Macaca fascicularis: one gene and its partner. The protein of the gene in region 1 interacts with the protein of each later gene in a pairwise test. Links are inferred from orthologs where the notes say so. Each region holds a gene or a part of one and is shown on either strand. Other genes may lie near its edges.

The links.
Region 2: the proteins of UBXN11 (region 1) and ENKD1 interact in binary tests that used the Homo sapiens proteins (3 or more experiments, as listed by UniProt). The two-hybrid records come from large-scale screens. The link is inferred for Macaca fascicularis from reciprocal best matches to the Homo sapiens genes UBXN11 and ENKD1.

The regions. Positions count from the first base shown.
Region 1 is NC_088375.1:208,827,481-208,842,691, forward strand, and holds the start of UBXN11 (UBX domain-containing protein 11), read left to right. Parts: upstream 1-7,689; 5' UTR 7,690-7,734; intron 7,735-12,418; 5' UTR 12,419-12,543; intron 12,544-12,676; 5' UTR 12,677-12,711; coding exon 12,712-12,782; intron 12,783-14,172; coding exon 14,173-14,201; intron 14,202-14,839; coding exon 14,840-14,965; intron 14,966-15,211. UniProt on the Homo sapiens protein: May be involved in the reorganization of actin cytoskeleton mediated by RND1, RND2 and RND3. Promotes RHOA activation mediated by GNA12 and GNA13.
Region 2 is NC_088394.1:63,696,227-63,711,413, reverse strand, and holds ENKD1 (enkurin domain-containing protein 1), read left to right. Parts: upstream 1-8,695; 5' UTR 8,696-9,003; coding exon 9,004-9,088; intron 9,089-9,178; coding exon 9,179-9,373; intron 9,374-10,549; coding exon 10,550-10,722; intron 10,723-11,991; coding exon 11,992-12,117; intron 12,118-12,233; coding exon 12,234-12,397; exon of another isoform or gene 12,398-12,401; intron 12,402-12,499; coding exon 12,500-12,636; intron 12,637-12,734; coding exon 12,735-12,895; 3' UTR 12,896-13,107; downstream 13,108-15,187. Other genes in the region: C20H16orf86 (uncharacterized protein C16orf86 homolog), read right to left, coding at 6,880-7,271, 7,367-7,943; PARD6A (partitioning defective 6 homolog alpha), read right to left, coding at 13,409-14,160, 14,374-14,596, 14,714-14,785, 14,950-15,012. UniProt on the Homo sapiens protein: Microtubule-binding protein which regulates microtubule organization and stability. Promotes the stability of astral microtubules and facilitates the proper orientation of the mitotic spindle.

The DNA of each region.
Region 1 (15,211 bases):
AGAGTAAACAGGAAACAACAGCCCAACCCTCAAAGAAACTGAAGACAACATGACCCAAAAGCAGAAACAGATAATAGAAAGTTATACAAAAGACCCAGATAATGGAATAATCAATCAAATTTTCAAATAACTATGCTTTACTCAAAGACATTTTCCTTTTCTGCCCTCTGAGCAGCAGGATAAGATTGAGACTGGACAAGATTGAGAACTAGAAATTATAGTAAAGAACCAAATGGAAATTCTAGAACTGAAAAATACGGTAATAAAAATTAGGAACTCAGTGGGTAGGTTTAACATCAGATTGGGCCAGCTGAAGAGAAAATTAGTGAAGTGAAGTAAAGATCATAAGAAAATATTATTATTATTATTTTTTTTTTTTTTTTTGAGACGGAGTCTTGCTCTGTCGCCCAGGCTGGAGTGCAGTGGCCGGATCTCAGCTCACTGCAAGCTCCGCCTCCCGGGTTCACGCCATTCTCCTGCCTCAGCCTCCCGAGTAGCTGGGACTACAGGCGCCCGCCACCGCGCCCGGCTAAGTTTTTTTTTTTTTGTATTTTTAGTAGAGACGGGGTTTCACCGTGTTAGCCAGGATGGTCTCGATCTCCTGACCTCGTGATCCGCCCGTCTCGGCCTCCCAAAGTGCTGGGATTACAGGCTTGAGCCACCGCGCCCGGCCAAGAAAATATTATTACAGCAGAATGTGTTTATTGGGTGCCTGCTGTGTGCCAGGTACTGAACTAGGCACTGGGAATACAGCAGTGAACATAAAGACGTGGTCCCTGCTATTATGCAGCTGATATTTCAGTGGGGGAAGACGAATAAAAACAATGGTAATTTCAGATTTTCACAAATGGCATGAGGAAGTCAAAGGGGTAATGGGAGAAGAAGAAGTGAAACGTGGGGAGGATATATTCTAGGTCAGCGGTCAGGAAAGACCACTCAGAGGAAATGTGTGTGCTAAGACCTGCAGAACAAAAGGAGTCCAGGCATGCAAAGCGCCTTAGATCACCATCCCATCCCAGTTCCACAGTGTCTTTTGATGGCTGTCCTTGGGGCCTAGCACAGTCTCACATAGGCCAGGTTCTCCAAATGTCCTTCATCAATGAGATAATGGAATACAGCAGGAAGGGAGGAAGGAGAAGAGAGTTCCAGCACACATCACAGTGTGATCCACCCAGAATTTTTCATCCTCACTGAGACGGGGCTGGGATTCAGTAGCATCATACAGCATCCAAGGTGAATCTTCATCCACCCATTCATTCAGCTATCCATCCACCCACCTATCCATTCAGTCTTTTGCTCATTCACTCTTTTTTTTTTTTTTTTTTTTTTGAGATGGAGTTTCACTTTTGTTGCCCAGGCTGGAGTGCAATGGTGCGATCTCGGCTCACCGCAACCTCCACCTCCTGGGTTCAAGCAATTCTCCTGCCTCAACGTCCTGAGTAGCTGGGATTACAGGTGCATGCCACCATGCCCAGCTAATTTTTTGTATTTTTAGTAGAGACAGGGTTTCTCCATGTTGACCAGGCTGGTCTCAAACTCCCGACCTCAGGTGATCTGCCACCTCGGCCTCCCAAAGTGCTGGGATTACAGGCATGAGCCACTGTGTTCTGGCCTCATTCACTCTTTTAATTAATTTATTGACACCTACTGTGTGTCAGGCAAGATGAATGAGAGTCCTTTCCCCTGAGGAATTTATAGTTTAGCAGGGACACTCATACGAAAATCACAAAACTGAATAAGAAATGCTATAATGGGCCAAGCGTGGTGGTTCATGCCTGTAATCCCAGCACTTTGGAAGGCCGAGGTGGGCAGATCACCTGAGCTCAGGAGTTCGAGACCAGCCTGGCTAACTTGGTGAAACCGCAACTCTACTAAAAATACAAAAATTAGTCAAGCGTGGTTGTGCACGCCTATAATCCCAGCTACTTGGAGGCTGAGACAGGAGAATCACTTGAACCCAGAGGCAGAGATTGCAGTGAACTGAGATCCCGCCATTGCACTCCAGCCTGGGTGACAGAAAGAGATTTTGTCTCAAAAAAAGGAAATGCTATAATTGCAGCAGGACTTTCAGAGAGTGGAGTGTAGAGTGTGGTTCTGCTTGCAGGGGAGTGGGGATGAACCAGAGATGATTTCATCGGGGAGGGGACATTTGAACTTGTTGAAGGATGGAGTGGGAATTTTCCCAAATGGAAAAGGCAAGAGAGGATATTCTCATTGGAAGGAGAGGCCAGAACGTAGGGAAGAACATGACGGTTTCGGGAACATGAGAAAGGCCAAACCCAAAATAGGAGGGCTCTAAATATCCAGCTAAGCTGTAGATGATGAGGGCTTCGTCTAAGGTGGTGGTGATGTGGGTGGAGAAGGGGGAAGGTGGAAGAGATAGCTAGATTTGTATTCTGCTAAAGAGACTTGGAGGAACTCTTTCTCCTCATTATTTACCTCTTACTTCCTGAGCTGGTAGAACTCAATAAACTCTTTAACCTCAGAGGGGTCATAACTGATAAGGGTCTTTCAGGAAATGACCTAAAAGCAAAGCAGACTCTGTCTGCTTTCAAGAATAGAGACTTCTGGCCAGGTGCGGTGGGTCACACCTGTAATCACAACGCTTTGGGAGGCCGAGGTGGGCGGATCATGAGGTCAGGAGTTCGAGACCAGCCTGACCAACATGGTGAAACCCCGTATCTACTAAAAATACAAAAAATTAGCTGGGCATGGTGGCACGTGCCTGTAATCTTAGCTACTCGGGAGGCTGAGGTGGGAGAATCGCTTGAACCCGGGAGTCAGAGTTTGCAGTGAGCTGAGATCGTGCCACTGCACTCCAACCTTTGTAACAAGTGTGAAAATCCATCTCAAAAAAAAAAAAAAAAAAAATAGACTTCTGCCGGGCGCGGTGGCTCACGCCTATAATCCCAGCACTTTGGGAGGCTGAGGCAGGTGGATCATGAGGTCAGGAGTTCAAGACCAGCCTGGCCAACATGGTGAAACCCCATCTTTACTAAAAAATACAAAAAAATTAGCTGGGCATGGTGGTGGGCACCTGTAATCCCAGCTACTCGGGAGGCTGAGGCAGAGAATCGCTTGAACCCAGGAGGTAGAGGTTGCAGTGAGCTGAGATCACGTCACTGCACTCCAGCCTGGGCAACACAGTGAGACTCCATCTCAAAAAAAAATTAATAATAATAATAGAGACTTCCAGAGCCATCTAGCCCCAGAGCTGGGGTCTACTTCCTCACCCTGCAGGTGGGGAAACAGGTCCAGAAAGAGCCTTGTTCAGGACCTCCCTCCTCCCAGGCCAGGACCCTTGTACCATCATCAGACAGTGAATATCCACCATTGGATGTGATCACGATGAGGCTGGGCAACCCCATCTCGGAAGTCCAGAGGGAATTTTTCCAGCTTGGAAGTGGTTGGATGGATCTCCAAGGCCCTCACAATACTCAAGTCTTGTGAGCCTGGAGACCTCAGAGATTTCCAGACCTTCTAAGATGTAGGAAGAGAAATATAGGTCAAAAAAAAAAAAAAAAATCAGATGAGCTTAGACTCTTGGTTTCTTTTATAATTTTGTTTCTGAAAAACACCTCCTTTTTTTTTTTTTTAAAAAAGACAGAGTCTGGCTCTGTCGCCTAGGCTGGAGTGCAGTGGTGCAATCTTGGCTCACTGCAACCTCCACCTCCCAGGTTCAAGCAATTCTCCTGCCTTAGCCTCCCAAGTAGCTGGGATTACAGGCGTCCACCACCGTGCTCTGCTAATTTATTTATTTATTTTTTCTTTTTTTGAGATGGAGTCTTGCTCTTATTGCCCAGTCTGGAGTGCAGTGGCGCGACCTCGGCTCACTGCAACCTCCAACTGCCAGGTTCAAGCGATTCTCCTGCTTTAGCCTCCAAAGTAGCTGGGATTATAAGCACATGCCACCACACCTGGCTGATTTTTGTATTTTTAGTAGAGACGGGGTTTCACCATGTTGGCCAGGCTGGTCTCAAACTCCTGACCTTAGGTGACCCACCCACCTTAGCCTCCCAAAGTGCTGGGATTACACGCATGAGCCACTGCTCCTGGCTTAGTTTTTGTATTTTTTAGTAAAGACAGGGTTTCATCATTTTGGCCAGGCTGGTCTCAAACTCCTGACCTCAGGTGATCAACCCACCTCAGCCTCCCAAAATGTTGGGATTACAGGTGTGAAACACTGTGCCCAGTCAAAAACTCCTTTTTGAGCTGGGCACAGTGGCGAGAGGGTATAGTCTCAGCTACTTGGGAGGCTGAGAGGCCTCAAGTAGGATCAGGAGGATCCCTTGAGCTCAGGAGTTCAAATTCAGCCTGGGCAACATACAGCCTGTCTCTAAAAATAAATAAATGAGCAAAGAAAGAAAAGAAAAACACCTTTTCAGAAGCAATAATGCAACAACATTATAGGAATTTTTAAAATAGTGTATATAGTTTTTTCAGTGTTGTCCCCACTCATGCTGAGGCCGGCGCCCCATTATGGGAAATTTAATTTGTACAATAATCCTAGGAGGTAGATTCTATTAGTATCTCTACTTTACAGGTGTGGACACTGAGACTGGTAGATGAAGTATCTTGAGCAGGAACAGCCAGCTATTAAGCGACAGAGCCCAGCCTCATAGAGTTGTTAAGTTATGCTGATTCACAGTGCAATGTATCCTCAACAAATGATAGCTATTATTATTTTCCAAGTTTCTCCAGTGAAAGTGTATGTTTTTATAATAAGGCTGTGACTTCCCCAATAAATGTTATTTAAAAAAAAAAAATCAAACGAGCAGGGCGTGGTGGCTCACGCCTGTAATCCCAGCACTTTGGGAGGCTGAGGCGGGTGGTTCACGAGGTCAGGAGATCGAGACCATCCTGGCCAACAAAGTGAAACCCCATCTCTACTAAAAATGCAAAAATCAGCTGGGGGTGGTGGCATGTGCCTATAATCCCAGCTACTCAGAGGCTGAGGAAGGAGAATGGTGTGAACCGGAGAGTCGGAGATTGCAGTGAGCTGAGGTCACGCCACTGTACTCCAGCTTGGTGACAGAGTGAGACTCTGTCTTGAAAAAGAAAAAAAAAATCACTCGACTTGGGGCCGGGCGCAGTGGCTCATGCCTGCAATCCCAGCACTTTGGGAGGCTGAGGTGGGCGGATAACGAGGTCAGGAGATGGAGACCATCCTGGACAACATCGTGAAACCCCGTCTCTACTAAAAATACAAAAAAATTAGCTGGGCGTGGTGGCGCGTGCCTGTAGTGCCAGCTACTCTGGAGGCTGAGGCTGGAGAATCTCTTGGACCAGGGAGGTGGAGGTTATGCCGAGCCGAGATCGTGCCACTGTACTCCAGCCTGGTGACAGAGCAAGACTGTGTCTCAAAAACAAACAAACAAACAAACAAAAACAACTGGCCTGCCAGGTTAGAGGGCTCCCATTTTCCTTCCAGGAACTAGATGTTTGCTGAGTGTCTGCCTGCTGCGGAATCTCCAGCCAGGCCCTGGGTGGGAAGAAGGGATGGGGTAAATCCTGGTGCCTGGGTAAGCCACTCATGATCTGGTTCTTGCTGAGGCACGAATCAGAGGGCAGAGCACAGCAGGGCTCATGAGGCCAGAGCTCCTGCTTCCCACGCTTGCTTATCTCCCAGAGCAAGGTGACAGCATGAAGTTGTTACTCTCCCTGACCATGGGTCCAACCCCAAAAAACACTTGGCCCCAGCATGATCTCAGTCTTTCTCATCTTCATATACCTAAAACCTGAGAAAACTTTCTGGGAGCAGCTCAGCAACAAGAGAGCTCCTCCTACCTCCACTCTCCAGTCACACTTTCTGCCCAGACTACTCCCTTGGCAGTAGGTCTGTACTACCTGCTTCGTCAGCTTATCTATGCCTGCCTTGTTTACCAGAGTGAAAGTTTCTAGGAAGAGCATGGAGTCTTGAGGCTGACCGTTCTGGGTTTGAATCCACTTCTGCTTCCTGCCTTTATAATCTTATGCAAGCCACTGTACTACCCTGAGCTTCAGTTTTCTCATTTGTAGGTTTCTTTTTTCTTTTTCTTTCTTTCTTTTCTTTTCTTTTTTTTTTTTTTTGAGACGGAGTTTCGCTCTTGTTGCCCAGGCTGGAGTGCAATGGGGTGATCTCAGCTCAACGCAACCTCCACCTCCTGGGTTCAAGCGATTCTCCTGCCTCAGCCTTCCTGAGTAGCTGGGATTACAGGCATGAGCCACCATGGCTGACTAATTTTGTATTTTTAGTAGAGACGGGGTTTCTCCATGTTGGTCAGGCTGGTCTTGAACTCCCGACCTCAGATGATCCGCCTGCCTCAGCCTCCCAAAATGCTGGGATTACAGGCGTGAGCCACTGTGCCGGGCCCTCATCTGTAAATTTCATGTTACCATTTGACTTGGAAGGCACTCAGTAGTGGTAGCTTTCTTTAGCTTCCAATTTGCATACAAAGAATGCCGTCCACTTTGGGAGGCAGAGATGGGTGGATCGCTTGAGCTCAGGAGTTTGAGACCAGCCTGGGCAACATGGCGAAACCCCGTCTCTACAAAAAAAAAAAAAAAAAAAAAAAAAATACAAAAACTAGCTGGGCATTGTTGTGCGCACCTGTAGTCCCAGCTACACTGGTGGCTGCGATGGGAGGATGGCTTGAGCCTGGGAGGCGGATGTTGCAGTGAGCAGAGTCTACCCTTCCCTGACAATGTGGTAGGCTAGAAAGTCAAATGGAAAAAAAAAAAAAAAAAAAAAGCACTCTGTGTTGTTCAGAGAAAGGGCTTTTGAACCTGGGCACCAAGAAGTGAGTGCCTGAGATCAGAACTCATAAACTGCCAGACCATCACAGCTGAAAGGGTGGAGAGATGATGATGATGATTAACAGCAGGAAACGTTTTTGAAAAAGTGCTCTCTACAGGTGTTTTTGTTTGTCTCGGCTTTCCCCTTTAAAATCGTGTACTTTGCAATATCTTATTTAATCCTCACGGCAACCCAGTGGGGGTGAGTATTATCACTGTTTTACAGATGTAAAAACTAAGGTGTATAAAGTGTCCAAGAACACACAGTCAGGAGCCAGGACTCCTAATTCCAGAGTTCGTGCTCTTAACTGCCTTTAGCTGCTTTGGTGACTGAGTCTAATCCAACAATTTTACAGATGAGGCTCAGGGAGGGGAAATTGTCTTACCCAACTTTTACGCAAGGGAAATAGAATTTGGGCCTCCCTTCCGGGCGCCAATCTGGACAAGGAATTATCACAGAAACTCAGATTTAAGAAACATTTATTAAGTAGTTGCATCATTGCAATCCATCCTCAAAGCAGCCTCCGCTAAGTATTATAGTACTTCGTGTTACAACACTGATCATATGGGGAAATAAGCTAAGAGGGATAATTCCCCCCAAGATCAATTTAGCAAAATAGCGGCACTGTCGGGATCACACATTCAGGTTCAGAGGCTTCCAGCAGTTTCAGCAACCTAATCCCAGGTTCCTCCTTCCTGCACCTGTGGGTATGAACGAACTCCCCCATCCCCGGACCTGGAGCCCGCTCAGAGCGGTGCATTCTGGGATTCGCCCGCGAAGAATGCCGACTCTTTGGGCCAATAGAATCCGAGCATAGGCGACTGTATCCACCTTCGCTGTCTGCAGGTTGCTCAGGCCTCCCTCAAACTAGCCAATGAGAAGTGCACGGGTCCTGGTCGCCTAGGAAACCGCGTGACAACAAGATGGCGGCGCCGCGGGACGGCTAGCGGCCCTGCGTGGTGAGTCTGGCCCAAGACTTTTCTGCCCCTAGAGTCCTCTCGCAGGCTGGAGCCCGAGCCCCTAGAGCCCCGTGGGCCTGCGAGCTCCGCGGCTCCCACAGGAGGGGTTCGGGACCCTGCTTACCATGATTACTCGTGGAGGGGGAAGGAGGCGACACGGCTTCCAGGGCTGGGTTAGGTCGTGATAGACGTCTCTCCCTAAACGCGTCCTGGGGGCATTAGGGAGTGACGGCTGGCTGCGGGCCGGACCGTGTCCCCGCCAGAGCTCTGGGCCCTGGGGATGACGGCTAGGCCGAGGAGGTGTGAAGAAGAATGTTGTGAGTCAACCACAGCACTGAGTTTGGTCCCAGAGATGTAGAGGCATGGTACACAGCTTTGCTCTCAGCCAGATCTGAAGTGGGTGACAACTCTGCGTTAAGGAGCTTTTGGCCTGAGGGGTAGTCACAGTCCTGCCCTTGGAAGCCCCAAAGTGAAGGAGGTAGACGACTCTGTCCTCAGGGCTCCCTAATCTGAAGGAGGAAGAGACACGCCCCTGCCCTCAGGAGTCCCCCCAAACGGAAGGGGAAATGCAGCCTTTGCCCTCAGGGTCCCCTGTAATCTGGGAGAAGATTAACCTGGAGACAATGTGTTGGATTGGACTGGAGTGACACTGGAAGTAGGGAAGTCAGTTGGGGGCCACGTGACAGCTCCCAGAATGGGCAGTGAGTTCCACTAGGATAGCTGACAGTGGGCATGGAAAGGGGCAGCTATGTGTGAGACAGTTTAACCTGCAGGGTTTGGTGTAAGAGGAAAGATGGCGTAAGAGGGAAGGAAGGAGAGAAAAATGCTGTGGTTGGGTGATGGAGTCCCATTAAGAAGGGGGAAGGGGAGGAAGTGAGTTTGACGAAGATGTTGAATTTGGTTTAGGAGTTTTTTGTCTTTTGTTTTTCCCCCTGTGACAGCTTTATTGCGATATAATTCACGTACTACATACTTCACTCCTTTAAAGTGTAAATTTCAATCGTTTTTAGTATATTTTAGTATATATTCCATTTATATGAAATGTGCAGTATGGGCAAGTCTATAGAACAGAAAGTAGATTTGTGGTTGCCTAAGACTGGCTGGGAAAAGGGGTGGGGGCTGGAGAGTAAGTGGTGACTGCTAGAGGGTACAAGGTCTTTTTAGGCTGATGAAAATGTTCTAAAATTGTGGTGATGGTAGTACAGCTCTGTGAATATACTAAAAACTTAAATTTACACTGTAATAAGGTGAAATATGTGAATTATGTCTCAAAGCTGTTTTATGAAAAAGGTTGCATACTGTATAATTACATTTATGTAACTTTTTTGAAGTAATATAGAGATGGGCCGGGCGCGGTGGCTCACGCCGGTAATCCTAGCACTTTGGGAGGCTGAGGTAGGAGAATTGCTTGAACCTGGGAGGCAGAGGTTGCAGTGAGCCGAGATCGCGCCATTGCACTCCAGCCTGGGCAACAAGAGCAAAACTCTGTCTCAAAAAAAAAAAAAAAAAAGAGGCCGGGCGCGGTGGCTCAAGCCTGTAATCCCAGCACTTTGGGAGGCCGAGACGGGAGGATCACGAGGTCAGGAGATCGAGACCATCCTGGCTAACACGATGAAACCCCGTCTCTACTAAAAAATACAAAAAAATAGCCGGGCGAGGTGGCAGGCGCCTATAGTCCCAGCTACTCGGGAGGCTGAGGCAGGAGAATGGCATAAACCCAGGAGGTGGAGCTTGCAGTGAGCTGATATTCGGCCACTGCACTCCAGCCTGGGCAACAGAGCGAGACTCCGTCTCAAAAAAAAAAAAAAAAAAAAAAAAAAGAAAAAAGGAAAGAAAATAAAAAGAAAATTAGAGATGGAAAATAACGTACTGGTTGCCAGTGGTTAGGGCTGGGGGAGGGGTGCAGGATGGGTGTGACTATAAAGAGGGCCATGCGGAAGATCTTGGTGGGGCTAGAATAGTTCTATATTTTGATTGCAGTGGTAGTTACCCATGTAACTTGACCTATGTGATTTAATCTACCCATGTGATCAAACAGCATAGAACTATACATACAAACTGTAGAAAAAATGTCAATTCCTGATTTTATTTTATTTTATTATTTTTTTTTTGAGACGGAGTCTCGCTCTGTCCCCCAGGCTGGAGTGCAGTGGCGCGATCTTGGCTCACTGCAAGCTCCGCCTCCGGGGTTCACGCCATTCTCCTGACTCAGCCTCCTGAGTAGCTGGGACTACAGGCGCCCGCCACCGCGCCCGGCTAATTTTTTGTATTTTTAGTAGAGACGGGGTTTCACCGTGGTCTCGATCTCCTGACCTTGTGATCCGCCCGCCTCGGCCTCCCAAAGTGCTGGGATTACAGGCGTGAGCCACCGCGCCCGGCCTAATTCCTGATTTTAATATCATACTGTAGTTATATAAAATCTAACTATTGGCTGGGCACAGTGGCTCATGCCTGTAATCCCAACACTATGGGAGGCCAAGGTATGTGGATTCACGAGGTCAAGCATTTGAGACCAGCCTGGCCAACATAGTGAAACCCTGTCTCTACTAAAAATACAAAATTAGCTGGGTGTGGTAGCATACACCTGTAATCCCAGCTACTTGGGAGACTGAGGCAGGAGAATCACTTGGACCCAGGAGGCAGAGGTTGCAGTGAGCTGAGATCGCGCCACTACACTCCAGCCTGGGTGACAGAGCGAAACTCCATCTCAAAAAACAAAACAAAAAAATGTGTTGAGGGGAGCTGGGTAGAGGATACAAAGGATCTTTCTGTACTATTTTCCTAATTTCCTGTGAATCTATAATAACTTTCAAATAAAAAGCTAAAATATAAGTGAAAAACAAACTGAAGAGTTAGCTGGCCAAGGGAAGGGTGCAGGTAGGGGTGGGGAGACCATTCTGGGAGTGGGGGGGTTGAGGTCGAGGCAGGCGGGATACAAGTGCATTTGAGATATTGCTAGCAGTTCCGGTGGCTCAAGTGTGGGAGGCGGCAAGATGGGAGATGAGGTCAGGAGACATAAGCAGGGACCAGGTCACCTATATCAAGGAATTATGAACTTTTTTTTGAGATGGAGTCTTGCTCTGTCACCCAGGCTGGAGTGCAGTGGCGCAATCTCTGCTCACTGCAACCTTCGCCTCCTGGGTTGAAGCGATTCTCCTGCCTCAGCCTCCTGAGTAGCCGGGATTACAGGTGCCCCCCACCATGCCCGGCTAGTTTTTGTATTTTTAGTAGAGATGAGGTTTCGCCATGTTGGTCAGGCTGGTCTTGAACTCTTGACCTCAGATGATCCACCCTCCTCCGCCTCCCAAAGTGCTGGGATTACAGGCGTGAGCCACCACGCCTGGCCAGAATTTTGAATTTTTTTCCCTAGGTGAGAAATGCTGGAATTATAGGCATGAGCCACCACTCCCGGCCTGCTTTATGTTTTAAGAAGATCTCTCTGGAGCACATGGGAACTAATGAAGGGAGCCATGAGGGGCTCTCAGACTTGGCCATACAACCCATGAGGCTGCCCAGAAGGGCAGGGGGCTGGGGCAGGGTGGGGGTGAAGAAACTCTGGGCCTGATCCTTGAGGAGGGCTCCTTCCAAGGAAGGGGCAGGTCATGATTCTCAAACTCTGCAGTGAAGGCATTGGAGGCTGCCTCCAGGCAGCATGGATTCCCTTGCTGACTGGCTTCAGAAGTAGGGCTGAGGCCAGAACCAGACATTTTCAAAGTGGAGCTTGCTTGGATTTGTCCTAAAAAATTTGATCCAGGCCAGGTGCGGTGGCTCATGCCTGTAATCCCAGCATTTTGGGAGGCCCCCGAGGCCGAGGCGGGTGGATCACCTAAGGTCATTTACTGAATAGAGTAGTAGCCTTCGATTATGTCCCTCAGGTGCACTCCTCTTTCCAGAAGGAAGAGGGAATGAAAGGAAACTAACATGTAGGAGTGCCTCCTGTGGCAGCAACAGCAAAAACAGCAGCAGCCCCAACTCACATTTTTCAGTGCTTTGAGCTTGGCGCTGGGCTAGACCTCTGTTACCTCTGAATCTGCTCAGAACACTGCCTGTGCCAGTACTGTTACCCCCATTTTATACTAAAAGAAACTGAGGATGGGTTACTCCAGTGAGTGGCAAAACCTGGCATCTTAACCTTGGCGTCACCTGGACTGTGTCTTTTTTTTTTTTTTTTTGAGATGGAGTTTCGCTCTTGTTGCCCGGGTTGGAGTGCAATGGCGCAGTCTCGTCTCATTGCAACCTCCCCACCTCCTGGGTTCAAGCGATTCTCGTGCCTCAGCCTCCCAGGTAGCTGAGACTACAGGTGCATGCCACCACGCCCAATTAATTTTTGTATTTTTAGTAGAGATGGGATTTCACCATGTTGGACAGGCTGGTCTCAAACCACTGATCTCAGGCAATCCACCCACCTCGGCCTCCCAAAGTGCTGGGATTACAGGCGTGAGTCACCGAGCCCGGCCCACATAGACTGTGTCTTGATTGAATCCTGCCTGTGGGTTGCCCTCTCTGGCTCTGAGATGTTGGTAGTGGCACCAGGTTTCTGGTGGAAGGGAAGGAGACACTTGGGCTTTGTGTCACCCAGCTGGCTAATGGACGGACAGCCTCCTGGGTGGTAGCATTTTCAGACTCTAAGTTTGGGAAAGTTCCAGGCTTCTGACTCATTTCTGCATCCCATCCACCCTCACAGTCCTTTCCCAAGAACCACCAGGCCAAAGGTCTCACAGTTCAGAGCAGAGAGCCGTATACCCAGAGGAGCAGGCAGATAACAGAAACTTCCAGAAACCTCTGTGGGGACAGTGGAAGCGGCAAAAGGTACTGCAGCCTAGACAGTGCTTCCCATTAGGAAGAGTAGCCAGGGATGTGGAAACTTCAGACTACCCCCTGGGATTGAAGCCCTGAGTCCATCCCCTCTGTCCCCAAGGGCTGACTTCCTGCATTCCTCTAGGGAGTTCCTGACAGCTGGATTCTAGAAGTAGAACTATGAGCTCACCTTTGGCCTCCCTTAGCAAGACCCGGAAAGTGCCCCTGCCCTCGGAGCCTGTGAATCCTGGGTAAGGAGCCAGCCTCAGGGGTCTTTCTGTCCCTGCCTTCCATCCTTCCATGGCCAGAGGACAATGACTCCTAGTGTCTTGGGGAATACAAATAAGGGCCACATAGCCTTCTCTGACCACTGTCTTTTTCTTTATACCTTCTTCTGGGGTGCCCAGCTTTGGATCTGAGCATAAACTGGGTTGTGCTTTTAATAAGGTATGGGCCCTGGAGGAGTGGCTTGGCATCCCATCTGTTCATTCACTGTTCATTGATTAATTCTGCAAACACAGATGGTGTATGGACGTATCCTGGGCCAGGCCCTGTTTGGGGTTCTCAGTAAAGGGAATCTTTTACATCTGTCTTGCACTTTCATGTTTTCAAAACATTTTTTACCTCTCTTCCTTCTTGCTTTTCGGAATACCACTTTGAGTCTTTTTTTTTTTTTTTTTTTTTTTTTTGAGACGGAGTCTCGCTCAGTCGCCCAGGCTGGAGTGCAGTGGCCAGATCTCAGCTCACTGCAAGCTCCGCCTCCCGGGTTTATGCCATTCTCCTGCCTCAGCCTCCCAAGTAGCTGGGACTACAGGCGCCTGTCACCTCGCTCAGCTAGTTTTTTGTATTTTTTAGTAGAGACGGGGTTTCACTGTGTTAGCCAGGATGGTCTCGATCTCCTGACCTCATGATCCACCCGTCTCGGCCTCCCAAAGTGCTGGGATTACAGGCTTGAGCCACCGCGCCCGGCCTTTTTTTTTTTTTTTTTGAGAGCATGTCTCGCTCTGTTGCCCAGGCTGTGGATTGCAGTGGCATGATCTCAGCTCACTGCATCCTCTGCCTCCCAGGTTCAAGCGATTCTCCTACTTCAGCCTCAGTAGCTGGGACTACAGGTGCGTGCCCCAACGCCTGGCTAATTTTTTGTATTTTTAGTAGAGACGAGTCTCACTGTGTTAGCCAGGATGGTCTCGATCTCCTGATCTCGTGATCTGCCCACCTCGGCCTCCCAAAGTGCTGGGATTACCAGCACTCTAGGTGTGAGCCACTGCGCCTGGCCCCACTTTGAGTCATTCTAAGGCCTAGAAGATTCAGAGAGGTTAAGCAACAGGCCTCACAGCCTTTGCAGAGCAGAGCTGGGGCTGAACTCGTGGGCTTTGCAAGTCTTGTAGTCTTCCCACTAAGACTCTGCTCTTCACCCCTTCCCCATCCTTCTCCACTGGGCAAAGTGAGTCATGTTGAAGCCTGTCCCTTGTCTCACCCCAGGCTGGGGCTGGGATTTGGGGCTGGAAGTCCTCAGGAGGTAGAGGCCCCGCTTCCATCTCTTTGAGTTTTGACTGAAGTCCGGTGCCCAGAGCCTTATCCCTGGTATCATTCCAGGGGCCCTAACTTATATTTCTTCCTTCCTCCTGCCTGGGTTTCCAGGAGGCGAGGAATCCGCATCTACGGGGATGGTAAGTGTGCCCTGCCCTCATGCCCTCTTCGCCTCTCATGTGCTCGCACCTCCTACAGTTGGGCCAATGGAGAGAAATCACAAGGCCCTTGTCAGCTGGAGCAGCGGCCTACATTGTGTTATCTGCAGCTCCCACACTGTCCTCTCTGAGGGCTGGGCTTCCCTCCTGGAAGCTCTCAGATTAGGAGGCCCCATACCCTTGGCACAGTTGTTGCCACTCACATTCGAACCCCTTGACCCACTGTGGGACTGGCCAGTGTGTGCCTAGAAACCACGTGGGGGCCAAGAGATTACCCAGCCCAGGGGTCGGGATCCCAGTCCACCTTCCCCCTCCAGCCTCTTCCAGCATGACAGCCGTTTCTCCCAAGAGGCCTGTGCACACATTGCCACCCTGACTCCTGTAGCTCAGGCCTTTGGATCCCCACCCCCCAACACCCCACCATAGCATTGGCATTGGCTATGCAGGTCCCTCTGGGAGCAGAACTGGAAGAACTACAAGAACAGCCCCATTCTGGTTGGGTCCTTGCTCCCCAGCCTTGTGAATTCTCTCTCCTCAAACTCCCTGGGGCATACTGCATAGGCTGCGTCACACTGGCCAGGGCCCAGGGCGTGAGTTTCCTCTGGGCCTCGGCCCCAAAGCAGTGACCTGGGCATCCCTGTCTGCAGAAGATGAGGTGGACATGTTGAGTGATGGGCGTGGCTCAGAAGAAAAGATCTCAGTCCCTTCCTGCTATGGCGGCATAGGTGCCCCTGTGAGTCGGCAAGGTGAGAGCAGAGGCCCGAAGGGTCTGGGTCCTGGCTGCAGGAGGGGGCCCCAGAGAAAGAGCAAGGCCTGGGGAGGCATGGCCCTTCCTCTCGCCTGTTTGGTCTGAGGAAGCTGCTCCCACTCCTGGCTGACGGTGGCAGGGCCCTGGCTTTGCGTAAAGCCACACAAGCCCCACCCTTAGCTCAGGAGGCCTGGCCCAGCCCCAGCCCCAGGCCAGGCTGTGGCTGTAGTTGCCAGGTATGATA
Region 2 (15,187 bases), on another chromosome or scaffold:
CACCCTTAATGAGTCTGGGTGAAGCCAGAGGTGGCCCTGGGACTTCGCCCCCTCCAGCGACTCACCTGCTCCTCAGACTTGCAGGGTGGCAAATGTTCTTGTTGGCCAGGTTACCACGGCGTGCAGAGGGCAGAGCTGCCGCCGGGCCTCCTCATGGCAATGCCAGTGAGTGGGACTCGGAAAGGCTCACCCTGGTGAGCCCCTCAGCCTGATCCGCAGTCCTAATGGTGAGAAAGCACAATAGGGCCAGCTCGGCTGAGGCCCGAGGAGAAATGATGAGAAGTTTCATTTCCTTCTTGGGCTGGGACATCTCAGGAACAGTGAGGGCAACAAGCTGTCCCTCAGGGACCCTCACCTGCCCTCCCATGTGACCAGGCCCTTCCCAGGTGGGGACTGGGGCTTGCTTTATTAAGTGAGCTCTCAGGCTTTTGAAGTAGGACAGAGGGCCCTGATTTGGCAGAGAGGAGGCAAGGGAGGGCTTTAGAACATCTGAGAAATGTTAATAAATAATTGAGAAAATAGGACATGGCATGTGGTGTTTGTTTGGTAGGTTGGGTTTCTTTAATACTGAAAGGCTTGTTTCTTGCTGTAGGGGGTTTTTCTCTTCACTCATTGCTCCACAGCAGCTTGAAGCCAGCCGTGGGTCATCACCGTCAACTGTGCCACACGGGCTGCTGCCCCTCCAGCCCTCGTCTCCTACCTGTTCCCTCATAGCCAAATCCCAGGAGCCTCCGAAGAAAAGATTTCCTCAGAGAACAGGAGTCAGGACTTCCTGATGGGCTGCTGCTGCGCCTGCCGTCTCAGCAGATATCGGGAGAGTTTGGGGCCTCACTGGGCTGGAGGTCAGGAGGGGTTCTGTTCTTAATGTCATGGTGCTGGCTGCCAGAGTGCCCTTGAGGTGGCGGGGAGGAGTGGTTTCAGGGAGGTGGCACAGGGTGAGAAGTAGGAGGAAGAGCTCCAGGCATGCCCCGTGGAGCAGCTGTGACTGGACCTGAGGGCCAATCACCCACTGTGCTCTTGACTGTGCTCTGCACAGGGCCAGCCTTCTACCCACCTCCAGAAGCTGGGGTGGGGAGTGGTGATGAGAAAGGACACGCCCTCCCCATTGCGTCTTTGACCAGCCTGCCAGGCTCGTTCAGCCTGGACCGAGTTCTGTTCCCTTCTCTAACCTTCCGCCCACTTCCCTGCCCTGGGCTCCTTGCCAGAAAAGCCCAGGGAGGGCTTCCTTTTCCTCTTGGCACCTCTTCTAGAAGTCACCAGGCTTGTTTTCCTGTCATGTACTGGATTCAGATATCCTTGTGAGAGGGAATAACAAGGGATGGGGTTGGAGTGTGCCTACTGCATGCTGACCCTCAGGGCAAACATGTATGTTATTATTTCACTTAATTTCCAAACCACTCTCTGACGGTAAATATTCCCATCATTCAGATCATAAAATGGAGGCACAGAGGGCAAAGCTACTTGTCTCCTGTAGGTTGTCCATGATGGAGCTGGGAGCCTGGTCAGGACCATCTAACCGCAGAGCCTGACCTTGAACCACACTTCCTCCCAGCACTTGGGAGTCTTCACACCCGAGGGCCCGGCATTGCCTCTGCCTGCTGCAGAAGCCTTGGCCTGGCCTGAACTAGGAAGTGAAGTGCAGACAGCACCCACCACCAGGCAGGACACTGAAGGTTAAAGGGGAGGCTGCCCCCTTGTCCCTGGGACAGTTAGCTCAGCTCAGTCCTCCCATGTTGTTGCTAGGATGTTGAGGTTGCTCTGAAATGTGGGAATTGACCAGGAAAGCACAAGCCCGACTTACATGCTCCCACATAAGAAAGGGCCATGTGGCCATCCAGAATGGCACTTGGGTTCCCAGAATGTGCTGGGGCTTAGTGTAGAGCTACTTCAATGAGGATCCCGTTTCCTCTAAGGGAATCCCCAGAGCCTAGATTCATGGCCAGAGGGGTACATGGCCTCTTCCCTCAGATGTCTTTACTATCGAGTATCTCCTGGGTATCAGAGCTGGTCAGTCCCACATGGGATGGGGAAGACAGATGTGCTCAGATACCTGTGGCCAAGGGAGCCCACAGGGTTCTGGTCTCCATGCGGGACTGAACCCACACTGGTTCCAGACTTGTCCAGCAGTGCCCCCTCCTGGAAGAAGACAGCATCTCCCAGGACCTGTTTCCAAATCTCAGGATGTTACTAGCTAGCTCTTTCTCAGGTCAAAATAAAGTATTTCCAGAACAGTAAAAATGCAGTTAGCTTTGCTCATCAGATACAGCAACCAGAAGAGAACTTCCAGAATACCTGTTGCTTATTCTTCAACCTCCAGCCAAATCCAGGACTGTTTTCACCAAATCCAGAACTGTTTTCACCCAGACAGTGGCAGCCGCTTCCTTTCCTGTTCTGCCCGTCACCCTGCCGGCCAAGCAGCCTCTCCTGAACGCCACGCCAAGATCCCTCCCTGTCCACACCCCTCTTCCTCACCCCCGGACTTGCCCAACCTGGTTTCCATATGGCCGTGCCCTCCACTCCAGCCACACTAAGCAGCCCTCCTGCAGAGGTGGCAGCTTCCATACTAGCAGGGCTTTGTCCCTGGCACGTCCTCTGCCTGGAAGGCACCACCTCTCTCAGGAGTCAGCTGGAGGACTGCCTGGTCACCACTTCTGCCCTCGGCAAAGTAGCCACTCCCCAACCTGTGGTCCCACAGCCTTGGTCCTCAGTTGCACTGAGGTTGCATCTCCCTCCCTCCCTCCCTCTCTCTTTTTTCTTTTTTTTTCTTTTTTTTTTTTTTTTTTTTTGAGACAGAGTCTTGCTCTGTCGCCCAGGCTGGGGTGCAGTGGCCGGATCTCAGCTCACTGCAAGCTCCGCCTCCCGGGTTTAGACCATTCTCCTGCCTCAGCCTCCCGAGTAGCTGGGACTACAGGCGCCCGCCACCTCGCCCGGCTAGTTTTTTGTATTTTTTAGTAGAGACGGGGTTTCACCGTGTTAGCCAGGATGGTCTCGATCTCCTGACCTCGTGATCCGCCCGTCTCGGCCTCCCAAAGTGCTGGGATTACAGGCTTGAGCCACCGCGCCCGGCCTCTCTTTCTTTTTTCTTTCTTTCTCTCTCTCTTTCTTTCTTTTTCTTTTCTTTCTCTCTTTCTTTTTCTTTTCTTTCTCTCTCTCTCTCCCCCTTCCTTCCTTCCTTTATTCCTTCCCTCCCTCCCTCCCTTCCTTCCTCCCTTCCTTCCTTTATTCCCTCCCTCCTTCCATTCCTCTTTCCCTCTCTCCCTCCCCTCCCCTCCCCTTCCCTTCCCTATCCTCCCCTTCCCTTCCCTTCCCTCCTTTCTTTTCTTGACAGAGTCTCACTCTGTCACCCAGGCCAAAGTGCAGTGGCATCACCTTGGCTCACAGCCACCTCCACCTCCCGGGTTCAAGTGATTCTCCTGCCTCAGCCTCCCAAGTTGCTGGGACTGCAGGTGCCCGCCACCACACCTGGCTAATTTTGGGGGGGTTTTTTGTTTGCTTTTGAGACGGAGTTTCGCTCTTGTTGCCTAGGCTGGAGTGGAATGGTGTGATCTCGGCTCACTGCAACCTCCACCCCGCTGGTTCAAGCAATTATCCTGCCTCAGCCTCCCGAGTAGGTAGCTGGAATTACAGGCGCACACCACCACGTCCGACTAATTTTTTTGTATTTTTAGTAGAGACGGGGTTTCACCATGTTGGCCGGCTGGCTGGTTTCGAACTCCTGACCTCGTGATCCACCCATCTTGGCCTCCCAAAGTACTGGGATTACAGGCGTGAGCCACCGCCCCCAGCCTAATTTTTGTATTTTTAGTAGAGACGGGGTTTCACCACGTTGTCCAGGCTGGTCTTGAATTTCTGGCCTAAGTGATCTGCCCCCCCCCCCCAGCCTCCCAAGGTGCTAGGATTACAGGCATGAACCACTGCACCTGGCCACTTGTTTTGAATATGTAATTTCAACTTTTATTTTACATTCAGGGGGTACATGTGTAAGTTTGTTACATGTGTATACTGTGTGATGCTGAGGTTTGGGGACGATTGTTCTCATCACCCAGGTAGTGAACACAGTACTCAATAGGTTTTTTCAACACTCACCCCACCCCCTCTCTGCCCCCTCTCATAGTCTTGTGTTTGTGTTTCCCATCTTTGTGTCCATGTGTACCCAATGTGTAGCTCCCACTTGTGAGAACATGTTCTATTTGGTTTCCTGTTCCTGTGTTAATTTGCTTAGGATAGTGGTCTCAGCCGTTTCCATGTTGCTGCAACGGACACGATTTCATTCTTTTTTATGGCTGCATCATTTTTACTTCTTGAGACAGGGAAAAATGTTGCCCAGGCTGGTCTTGAACTCCCGGGCTCAAACTATCCTCCTGCCTCAGCCTCCCAAATATCTGGGACTACAGACACAGACCACCACACCCAGCTACACATGTCTCCCTAAATCATGTAGCATTGCCCCTTTACAGCGAGCTTCTAGGAGTAGTAGGGACTTGATCCTTTCTGCAGTTCCTGCCACCCACCCTGCTTAGACAAGTCCATTGGGTAATAGGCCTCAGGAATTGCAGACTAGTTCTCCCACGATTTCTAATTCCTGCCTCGCCTGTGAGAAGACAGGACCAGCTCTTCCTTATCAGTGCTGGCCTTGCTTACACTTCCAGCCCTGGAGGCTGCACAAAGATAGGGGGGCCTTCTGGGGTTAGGCCTTAGCCAGAGAGTCCCCAGGTCGGCAGATCCTGCACAACTGAGGACAGGGATTCCTAGATCCCAGGGTGTAGTCTCCTGCAAGGCCACTTCTCTCCAGGCCTCTGCCTTCCCAACCATAAAGCGAGGAGGTTAAGCTCCATTATCTTGGCTGGGTGTGTTGGCTCATGCCTGTAATCCCAGCACTTTGGGAGGCCAAGGAGGGAGGATTGCTTGGGGTCCAGAGTTTGAGACCAACCTGAGGAACACAGACCCTATCTCCACAAAAAAATTTTTTGGCCAGGCACGGTGGCTCACATTTGTAATCCTTGAGTCCGGGAGGTGGAGGTTGCAGTGAGCCAAGATTGTGCCACTGCACTCCAGCCTGGGTGACAGAAGGAGACCCTGTCTCAAAGAAAAAAAAAACATCCTGAGCCCATGGCTTGCCATGGGGCCAGTGAGCCCCCAAGTGACCCTGTCAAAGGAGGGAGCAGCCTGGGATGATGCCAGAAAGGGGACCCTGCTTTTCCCACCCGAACCTGCCCATCCCACTTCCTCCAGTGACCTTCCCAGGTCATATTCCAGGGAACCTACACATGACTGTGTCCTCGGGATGACCTCAGCCTTTCAGATTCCGGCATGTCCCTCTTTGCAACTTCCTCCACCCTCACTTCGGTCTCATCACCTTGGTGCCTTTTAGGGGGCCCTCTGGCTTGGTGGATGTGATGCAATGAGATGTGCCCTTAGGGAGCTCACAATCTAGCCCTGAAGACAGTTAAAACCCACATGATAGTAGCATGTAGGTGTTACAATGCAGGGCAACATGGCATGCTGTCTGCCTCCCCAGGAAGCAGGGTTTTCAAAGGTATATGTGCACTAGCCAGGGGGAGAGGTGGGAATAAAGGCATTTTAGGCAGAGGAAACCCCACATGCACAGAGTAAAGGGAGGAAAAGGTGTAACTGCTCAGGGAATTACAGGAAGCCACTGAGTTCTAAGGTAGCTGGGGCAAGAGAAGGGGAATCCCAAGGGGGAGTGACACCATCAGGGGCTCAGGTGTGTGTGTCGCAGGGCCACTGGATGGATCTGTGGGCCAAGGGACGACAGGCAGGGAGACCAGTGAGGCTGTCACCTGGAGATGACAGTGGTCCAGGCAACGGTGCTGACTGTGGGGTCCGAGAGGTTCTCAGCCTGAAAGGGTATGTTCACTGGCCTCAATGTCTGCTTAGCTTGTAGGAATCAGGGGGCAAAGAACAGGATGGAGTCTGGGGTGACATCCAAGATTCTAGCTTAAACAGTTGCGCAGATGAGATACAGGAGGAAAAGCCAGTTGGAGGGAGGGGAAATTATCCATGAACTTGAAATTCCGTGTGTCTGTTTGCGGTGTCCAAGGAACACACAGGAGGCCCAGGATGTGCAGTTTCCAAAATGGCCAACACTGGCTGGCTCTGGCAGCAGAGATCCCTGCCGGTTGTACACAGTTGTCATCCAGTGGCTTGGCCTCAGGGCCCCAGATGCACTTACTGCCCCTGCCCACCCCTGCCTGTCAGGAAAACATCACTGATGCCCTGTCACCTGTGACCAGGGGCTACTCCATGGACAAGGTCCGGTCCAGCTATGGTCTGGCAATGAGTGGAAAACATCCCAAAGCTCTCACTCCGGCGACAGGCAAAAGAACTCTGAGCTACCTCCTAGGATGATCCCAAGTTTTGATCCCCTCAAGGTGAAACCAAATGCAGGCCCTTCCCCAGGAGACAAAGAGTAGGGCCAAACACCTGCTTCCCATGACCCTACAGACCCTTTCTTTCCTCTGCTCCAAGTTCCTCCTCCTCACTTCCCTCTTCATCACCCAGTTAGCCGCCTGACCCTCAGATTCACCTAAACACACAGTACCAGGTCCACCCCAATTCAGTGAGGCATGGGGTGGCACAAAGGCATCTGTCATTGTCAAAGTCTCAGGAGATGCAGATGACCATTCAGGCCTCAAACCCTGCACTGTTGAGTCCTCCATCCTCTTTCCCAGTTCAGGAAACCTATCCGGGGAATCACAAAGTCTTTGAAAAAGAAAAATATTTATTTTCAGCAAGCCCAAAGTCCCAAGTGGGGGCAGGTGCCAAATTTGCCCCCTCCACCAGAGGGCCTAGGCCCACAGGAAGCCTGAAGCCAAATTCAGGCATGGAAGGAGGGGAGCCACCAGTGGGGCGGGACAGTCACTTGTACTGAGGAGAGAGCGGGGGGACAAGCGGAGCAGTGCAGACACTCAGCATCTTGTCGATGTCCACCTGGGTTGACTTATCCACCTCAGCCTTGTGGTGGTCACTCACCCCCAAGCTGGGCAAGCCCCCAGCCTCCTCTCCGAGGGGAGCCAGAGCATGGATGGGGGTCACTAATGGACTGGGACAGGGCAAAGCGAGGCCTGGGCCCAGCTCACCTGCCAAGGGCAGCAAGGCCTGCAGTTGCTCCACACCTGCCTCCTCAGGAACCAGGGCCAGCTCTGCCTCTGCCTCCACCTCGGCCTCCCCGTCCCCCTCCCCTGCCTGGTTCAGCTCGGGGTTGCAATAGTTGATGTACTGGTACAGGGGCCGCAGGCGCTGGGCCTTTCCTGCAAAGACCCAGGGCAGGGCAGAGGCTAGAGCGCCAGGTTGTGCCATGTCAGGCCCCACAGGGAGAAGGAACAGCCCAGGGACTGCCACTCACGCTCCAGCCCCAATGTCTCTAAGGGTGCAGACACCGTGCTGGCCACAGCGTGGAGCACGGGAGCCCCCAGGCTCTTGCGCTTCTTGGCTTTTTTGTGCTGTTTGGCAGATGGTGAGGGCTCACTCTGGCTGCCCTCTGGCTCCTCCTCCTGCAGCGGCAGCCTGGGTGGCAGCTCAGCTTCAGCCTTGGGATGGGCACGAAGGCCCGGGAGGCTGAGGGACCTGAGCCAGGGACAAGAGACCTGACGCAGGGAATACCCCAGCCTGCCCACCGCCCCAGGACTCGACGCCTGCCCCTTTCCTGGTCGATGAGGCCCCAGGCCCAAGAGGCTTAGAGGCCAGTGAGCCCAGTGCCCTACAAACCCTGAAGCTCCCACTCTCCTGCTGCTCCCTACATGGGGGCTCTGGAAGAACGGGAGAGGAGAGTGATGGTAGTGACAGGGGACAAGAATCCTTCCTGCAGGAGTGCAGGAATCAGGAATGCTACTGGGGTGTGTGCCCCAACCCCGGGCCTGCAGCTCCTTCCCCTCCTCCTCCCCCAGAGCCCCCTCACTTGACAGGCTTTCTCTTTGGACCATGACGGGGCCTCACAATGGAGACCACGGGCCTGGGGCCTCTCTCCTCTAGCGCCCCGGCTTCCGGCTTGGGCCTCTCCTCCCCCAGCTTGGGTCCTTCCTCCTGGAGCTCCAGCTCCGAAGCTGCGCCTGCTGGGCGCTGGTCTTCACCCTGGGTTCCGCGGGCCTCATGGGCTGGCACCAGGAAATGTTCTTCCGCCACTGGACACTAGAGGTGACACACAGGCCATCGGTCACCATGGTCGGGCAAAGGACATAGGGATCCGTCACTGAACACCTAACATTAGACACCGAAACGGGAATAAGGACACCAGCCTGTGCCCCTCCCCGCCTGGAGGGCCCAGCCTGGCAGTTAGCGGGTCGGGGCGCTCAGAGTTCCGCCTCTCAGAGTGCTGCGGCCCCCTGTTTGAAGGTTAAACAGCCTGACGGTCACCTCGGAGGTCTCAGCGCTGCCGGGGTCCTCCGCGAGCTGTCCCTGCCCCACGACCGTAGCCTCCTGGACCCCCGGCCGCCTCTCCGCCCCTGCCGAGGCCATGGCTGCGCAGGCTCAGTGCATCCTCCACAGCTGCTTGGGGAGGGCCCCGAGCGGCTGGATGGTGGCCCCGCGCTGACCCTGGAGACGGGCCAGCAAGCGAGGGCAGAGCTGGGAAGCGAAACCCGCGACCGCGGAGCCCACACTCAGCGGAAACTACAAGCCCCAGGACGCTTTGCGCCAGGGTCAGTGGGCCCTGACCCCGGGGACGGAAGCCACGGTTGCCCGGCAACAACAACTCCCGTCGGGTGGCAGCGGCTGGCGGCAAAACCTCTCGAGTGAGCCCCTGCCCAAGTGCCGCGGGGGAGAGGCCGCGAGCGGGACCGAGAAGTGGGCTGGGGGGAGAGGTCGCGGAGGCGGCGAGCGAGGCCGGGGCCCAGGCAGGGACCGGCAGGGGCCCGGGAGTGACGGGCACGCCAGGGTCAGGGTCCCAGGCGAGGGAGGAGGCCCGGGGTTGGGGAAGGGGGCCCGGGGAGGGAGGTGCACAGCCCTGCAGGCCTCGGGGCACCGTTGCTGGGCGGTGCCGGCGGCATGTGCGAGGGCCCGTCCCGCATCTCGGGGCCCATCCCCCCAGACCCGACGCTCTGCCCTGACTACTACCGGCGGCCGGCCTCGGGTGAGTCCGCGGGCTTGGCGGTGGTGCTAGGCTCAGGGGTCGGCCCCGACTCCACCTGAGTCCTGGACTCCGCCCGGCTCCGCCCCACAGCTCAAGGGCGCCTCGAGGGAAACGCGCTGAAGCTGGACTTGCTGACCTCGGACCGGGCCCTGGACGCCACCGCTCCCTGTGGCCCCCGCATCGGTCCCGGTGCCCGAGAGATCCTGGAGCGCGGCCGGCGCGGCGTCGGGGACGTGCTGTTGCAACTCGAGGGGATCTCCCTAGGTCCTGGGGCCTCTCTTAAGAGTAAGTCCCAGGAATGGAAGAAGGGGCAGAGAGGCAATGCGGGGTGGAAAGAGATCAAAAGCAGCTGCTCTTTCCGCCCTGACCTGGGCCCAGGCTTTGCATCTCTTGAGTCTCAGTTTCCCCAACTATAAAAGGGGGAGAAATGTGCTACCTTCTCGAAGGAAGTGAACTGAATAAGGTAGTTCCCACGAAGCCCTAGCTCTGCTTCGTGCATTTGTTTGTTTGTTTGTTTGTTTGTTTGTTTATTTATTTTTATTTTTTGAGACGGAGTCTCGCTCTGTCGCCCAGGCTGGAGTGCAGTGGCCGGATCTCAGCTCACTGCAAGCTCCGCCTCCCGGGTTCACGCCATTCTCCTGCCTCAGCCTCCCGAGTAGCTGGGACTACAGGCGCCCGCCACCATGCCCAGCTAAGTTTTTGTATTTTTAGTAGAGACGGGGTTTCACCGTGTTAGCTAGGATGGTCTCGATCTCCTGACCTCGTGATCCGCCCGTTTCGGCCTCCCAAAGTGCTGGGATTAGAGGCTTGAGCCACTGCGCCCAGCCTGCTCGTGCATTTATTACCCGTCAAATTTGTTTGTTGAGTGCCCACTGTGTGCCAGGCCATATAGGTGCTAGAACACAGGGTTGAAGATAAGCATGAGCCATCATTGAGTCAAGGTGGGAGACAAAGAACAGGAGATGAATGTCATATATGAGATGATCTATGGTATACTTCACTATAATAATGGAGAAAATCACCCGGACGCAGTGGCTCACTCCTGGAATCCCAGCACTTTGGGAGGTCCAGGCAGGCGGATCACTTGAGCCCAGGAGATGGAAACCAGCCTGGCCAACATGGTGAAACCCCATCTCTACAAAAAATACAAAAATTAGCCTGGCGTGGTGGCGTGTGTCTGTAATCCCAGCTACTCAGCAGGCTGAAGTGGGAGGATCCCTTGAGCGGGGGAGGTCAAGGCTGCAGTGAGCTGTGATCGTGCCGCTGTACTCCAGCCTGGGTGACAGAGCGAGACACTGTCTCAAATAGTAATAATAATAATGGAGACAGTCATCCTGAAATACTACATGAGGAAGGGAACTCTTTCTGTAGGAGGCAGGGGGCAGGCCTGTGTGTGAACTAGTGGAAGTTGGATTGTGTGGGCCCTATGTAGGGCAGAGACTGGTGGCATCTTTTCTCCAGGGAAGGACCCTAAAGACCATGAGAAGGAGAACCTGAGGCGGATCAGGGAGATTCAGAAGCGCTTCAGAGAACAGGAGCGCAGCCGAGAGCATGGACAGCCCAGGCCCCTGAAAGCTCTGTGGCGCTCACCCAAGTACGATAAGGTGGAGTCCCAGGTCAAGGCCCAGCTCCAGGTACCTGCTCCAGGGAGCCAGAAGTATTATCCTTTTTGTTGGCCAACAGGCAGCTATACCCTGATCCGAGTTCTGGGGAGGGAGGGAACTAAGAGACCCTGGCTCTGCTGCAGGGCGAGGCTGGGGGGCTTCTCAGAAGTGGTGATGGCGGGGCTGATCCTCAGGGGCAAGCAGCAGTTAGTCAAGGGGACAGCAGAGGAGAACATTCCCAAAAGATGGAAACTCACAGACCACAGGGCACGCAGCAGTGGAGATGCCAGGTGTACAGTTCACTGTGAGGAAAGAAAGGCGTGAAGTTAGGCCAAGAAGTCAGCTGGGCCCACATCAGGGGCCACAAAAGCCACTTTTCAGTCCTTATTTCTGAGGACAGTGGGAAGGGCAGGGGTATGGTGGGGGGCTCTGTCTCGGGTAGAGAGTAGCACCATCTTTCCATCCAGGGACTCAGCAGGAGGAGCAGGAGTGAGAGGAAAGGCAAGGTCACACAAATGTGTCTGGGCTGAAGCATCTGTGGGGCTCCCAGGGGGTGGGAGTGTGTCCAGGAAGCAGATGGAAATTCAGGCCTGGATCTCAGGAGTGAGACCCAGGAGTTATTGACGATCAGGTTGAGGACAACGAGACCAAGGAAGTGACCGCCTGGATTTGAGGACTTGGAGGCCAGCCGTCAGGAACGTTGCGGGGCTAGAGCCAGGAAGCTTGGCTAGGAAGGATGAAAGAGAGTGGTAGGTGGGCCAGTACTGAGGTGGAAGGAGAGATGGTTTGTTGTTTTCTTTTTTTTTTTTTTTTTTTTTTGAGACTGAGTCTGACTCTGTCGCCCAGGCTGGAGTGCAGTGGCCGGATCTCAGCTCACTGCAAGCTCTGCCTCCCGGGTTTTTTTTTTTTTACGCCATTCTCCTGCCTCAGCCTCCCGAGTAGCTGGGACCACAGGCGCCCGCCACTTCGCCCGGCTAGTTTTTTGTATTTTTTAGTAGAGATGGGGTTTCACCGTGTTAGCCAGGATGGTCTCGATCTCCTGACCTCGTGATCTGCCCGTCTCGGCCTCCCAAAGTGCTGGGATTACAGGCTTGAGCCACCGCGCCCGGCCTGTTGTTTTCTTAAAAATGTGACGTACTCACACGTTTGTGTGCTGATGAGGACAACTGTCTCTTGAAGAGGGAAGAGGGCCCGAGGGACACGGATGCAAAGGTCAGAAGGGCCAAGAGGGCCAGGGTTTTGCAGCTTGAGCCCCAGACCTCAGCCTGCCTGGTCTCTCTGCTGTGCCCTGCCCTCCAGGAGCCTGGCCCTGCCTTTGGGACAGAGTCTGCACACTTCCTGCGGGCGCACTCCCGCTGCGGCCCTGGCCTCCCACCACCCCGTGTACCTAGTCCCCAGCCAACACCACCAGGTCCCAAAGCTAAGGTGAGAGGATGTGTGGGGGCTGGATGGTGGCTGGGCAGGGTTCCTGGTGTGTGGTGGGGGTTCAGGGACACAACATAATGCTGTCTGCCCCCACCCACGCTTGCTGTGTCCTGCAGGAGCCAGGCCTGGGGGTGGACTTCATTCGTCACAATGCACGAGCTGCGAAGAGGGCCCCCCGGAGGCATTCCTGCTCGCTGCAGGTCCTGGCACAAGTGCTAGAGCAGCAGCGGCAGGCCCAGGAGCACTACAATGCCACACAGAAGGGCCATGTGCCGCATTAGTAGGTCTCACTGCCTGACACTCAGGGTGAGGGAGACACCTGTGGAGGGCGGGAACCAACCTCTGCCCTGGGGTCATCAACCCTGAACCTGTGTACCCACAGCTTGTTGGAGCGCAGGGACCTGTGGCAGCGGGAGGCTGAGGCTCGCAAGCAGAGCCAGCCAGACCCTGCCATGCCCCCAGGCCACACGCGCATGCCTGAAAACCAGCGGCTGGAAACACTGACCAAGCTGCTCCAGAGTGAGTACCTGGGCAGGGAGGCTGGAGGGGGACCCCACTGGGGACCAGGCACCCCTGCCCAACACTCACTGTTCTCACTGTTCCCGGGCCCCCTGTAGGCCAGAGCCAGCTGCTGCGTGAGCTGGTACTGCTGCCTGCCGGGGCAGACTCACTGAGGGCCCAGAGCCACCGTGCTGAGCTGGATCGGAAACTGGTGCAGGTAGAGGAGGCCATCAAGATCTTTTCTCGGCCCAAAGTCTTCGTGAAGATGGATACCTGAGCCCCTCTGAGGGACAGTGGCAGGGAGCTCCATGCTGAGGATCGCCACATGGCTGCAAAGGACAGAGTCGGACCCAATCCCAGAGCAGAGGTCTGAAGACAGGAGCGGGGGGTGGCCAGTGTCCCTAGAGCACTCCTCCCAGCCACCAGTGGCTGCAGAAGGGCCACCCCAGCCTTTTAACCGCTTTGCCAAAATTAAACCTTTTGTACACAGGATTTGTTTCCATAAGAGCTTTTTTTACCCTAAAAATGCCAAGCCTGGTGGCCCTCCTGCTGCTTGATTGCAGGAAGTTTTCCCCATTGTCACTCCGGACTTAGTCCAGAGCAGAAGACAAGCTGGTGGGACCAGGGAGGAGGCTGGGACTGGGACACAGAAGGACCAAGACTGTATTTGTAGAAAAACCTTTAATGTTCCCCAGGCTGAGGGAGCCCTGGGAGCCAGCTAAAAACCCCCACTGTGAAGTCCCTGCCATGTCCCAGCAGTTTGGAGTGGCATGGGGCTGCATCCTGCCTGTCAGAGGCTGAAGCCACTACCATCTTGCATGCGACTCCCCCAGCCAGAACTGGCCTGCTCCTGGTCATCCAGGGAGGGCAGAGAGCTGCGGGTACCAGGACGTCGGCAGCCAGGGTGCAGGTCCCAGCATGGGGGCCCCTGAGACAGCCCATTGGAACTGGGAGGCTGGCGGTTCTCAATGACCAGGTCACTGCTGTCATCATCACTATCAGGCTCAGCAGGCCCAGGCCCTGCAGAGGGAGGACCTGTCAAACGCCCAGATGCCCCTCGCACCACGTTATTGCGCTGGTTGGCCGGCTTGACAGTGACAATGAGGTTATGGCTGTTGGCGACCATCATGTCCGTCACTTGGTCCAAGGTCTTCCCGGCTACTTCAATGCCATTGACCTCAAGGATCTCATCACTGACCGCCAGCAGCCCTGTACTCTCAGCCAGGCCCCCACGTACCAGGCGGGAGATGAAGATTCCTGGAACCCGCTCCAGGCCCTGGGGAGCCACACGAACACTCATGCCATCTCGGATGTAGAAGCCCAGGGGGCGGTCTGAACCATGCTTGTGCAGCCGCACCCGTCGGTGGGTCTCAGGCAGTAGGTCCACATCTATGACTGACGAAACCTGGCGGAAATCTTGGGGCAGGCTGATTAGCAGGGGTGGACGGGTGCGAAGGGGTGCCACTGGCCGCAGCAGGAGCCCTTTCTTGCGCCGCTGCAGAGAGTTGGAGGCAAAAGCCAGGCCGCTGGAGTCAGCTTCTGCTGCAGAAGAGGGGGGTGTTGAGATCAGAGACCTACTCCCCAACTTGGGCTCTTTACAGGGCCACTGTAGCTATTTCCTACCACTTGGAGGTCAGGTCAAGGGCAGGGACTGCAGAGGGTGACACGTGGGTACCCTGGGCATGGACTAACCCTTGTAGACCTGCCCCACAGGCACTTTACCCCACAGAGGCTGCCCACTGTACCCCTCCTCACCCCGCTTCTGCACCAATAGGCGCAGTGGTGGGGGCCCGCTGGCCAGGGCCCGGTGCAGACTGTCGTCGTTGGTGAGGGGCAGCAGGTCGCCGTGAGCATCCGTATAGCCAAGTAGCACGTCCAGGCCCGGGATCTGGTGCACCGCCCGCAGCAACCGCGAGAACTCCTGGAAGCCGCTCACCGAAGCGCGGGGCAGCGCGAAGCGTCGGAACTCGGCGTCAAACTGGAAGTCGGGGTTGAGGGAGAGGAGTCAGGACAGCCTGCGCCCCTTTCTCACCGCAGGCTGGCAGGGGTGGGAAAGATACCGGCTGCCGCAAAAGCGGCAGCCTTAAGCCCAGACCTCAGCTCCAGTACCAGGGACGCTGTCCAAGGTCTTCTCACCGCCCTCCAGGTACTCAGGCCACAGAGAGATCTGGAGACCAGCAGTGGAGGAAGGAAGATGGATGGGGGAAGGCGAGCAGAAATGCAGAATGGGACTTGGAAGATAGAGGGAAGAGGTGGCGGGGACCAAGGAGCTGGGAAGGGGAGAAAGAGGGAATTGGGAGCGCCTAGGGCCGAGGCCGGAGGAGCCCTTACTTTGCTCTTCACCTCGACGATGCTATCGGGACTGCGCGCCGGAGTCCTCTGCGGCCGGGCCATGGCGGGGCCGGGCGGGCCGGGGACGGTGCCCCAGGCGGCCCGCCGAGGCGCAGGTGCACAGCCCGGCCGGCCTGCCCGCGCCGCCCCGCCCCTGGCGGTAGCACACGCCCCGCCTTCCCAGCCGGAGCCTGACGTCAAGGGGGCAGCGAAGCAGAGTGGAACGCGGAGTCCACGT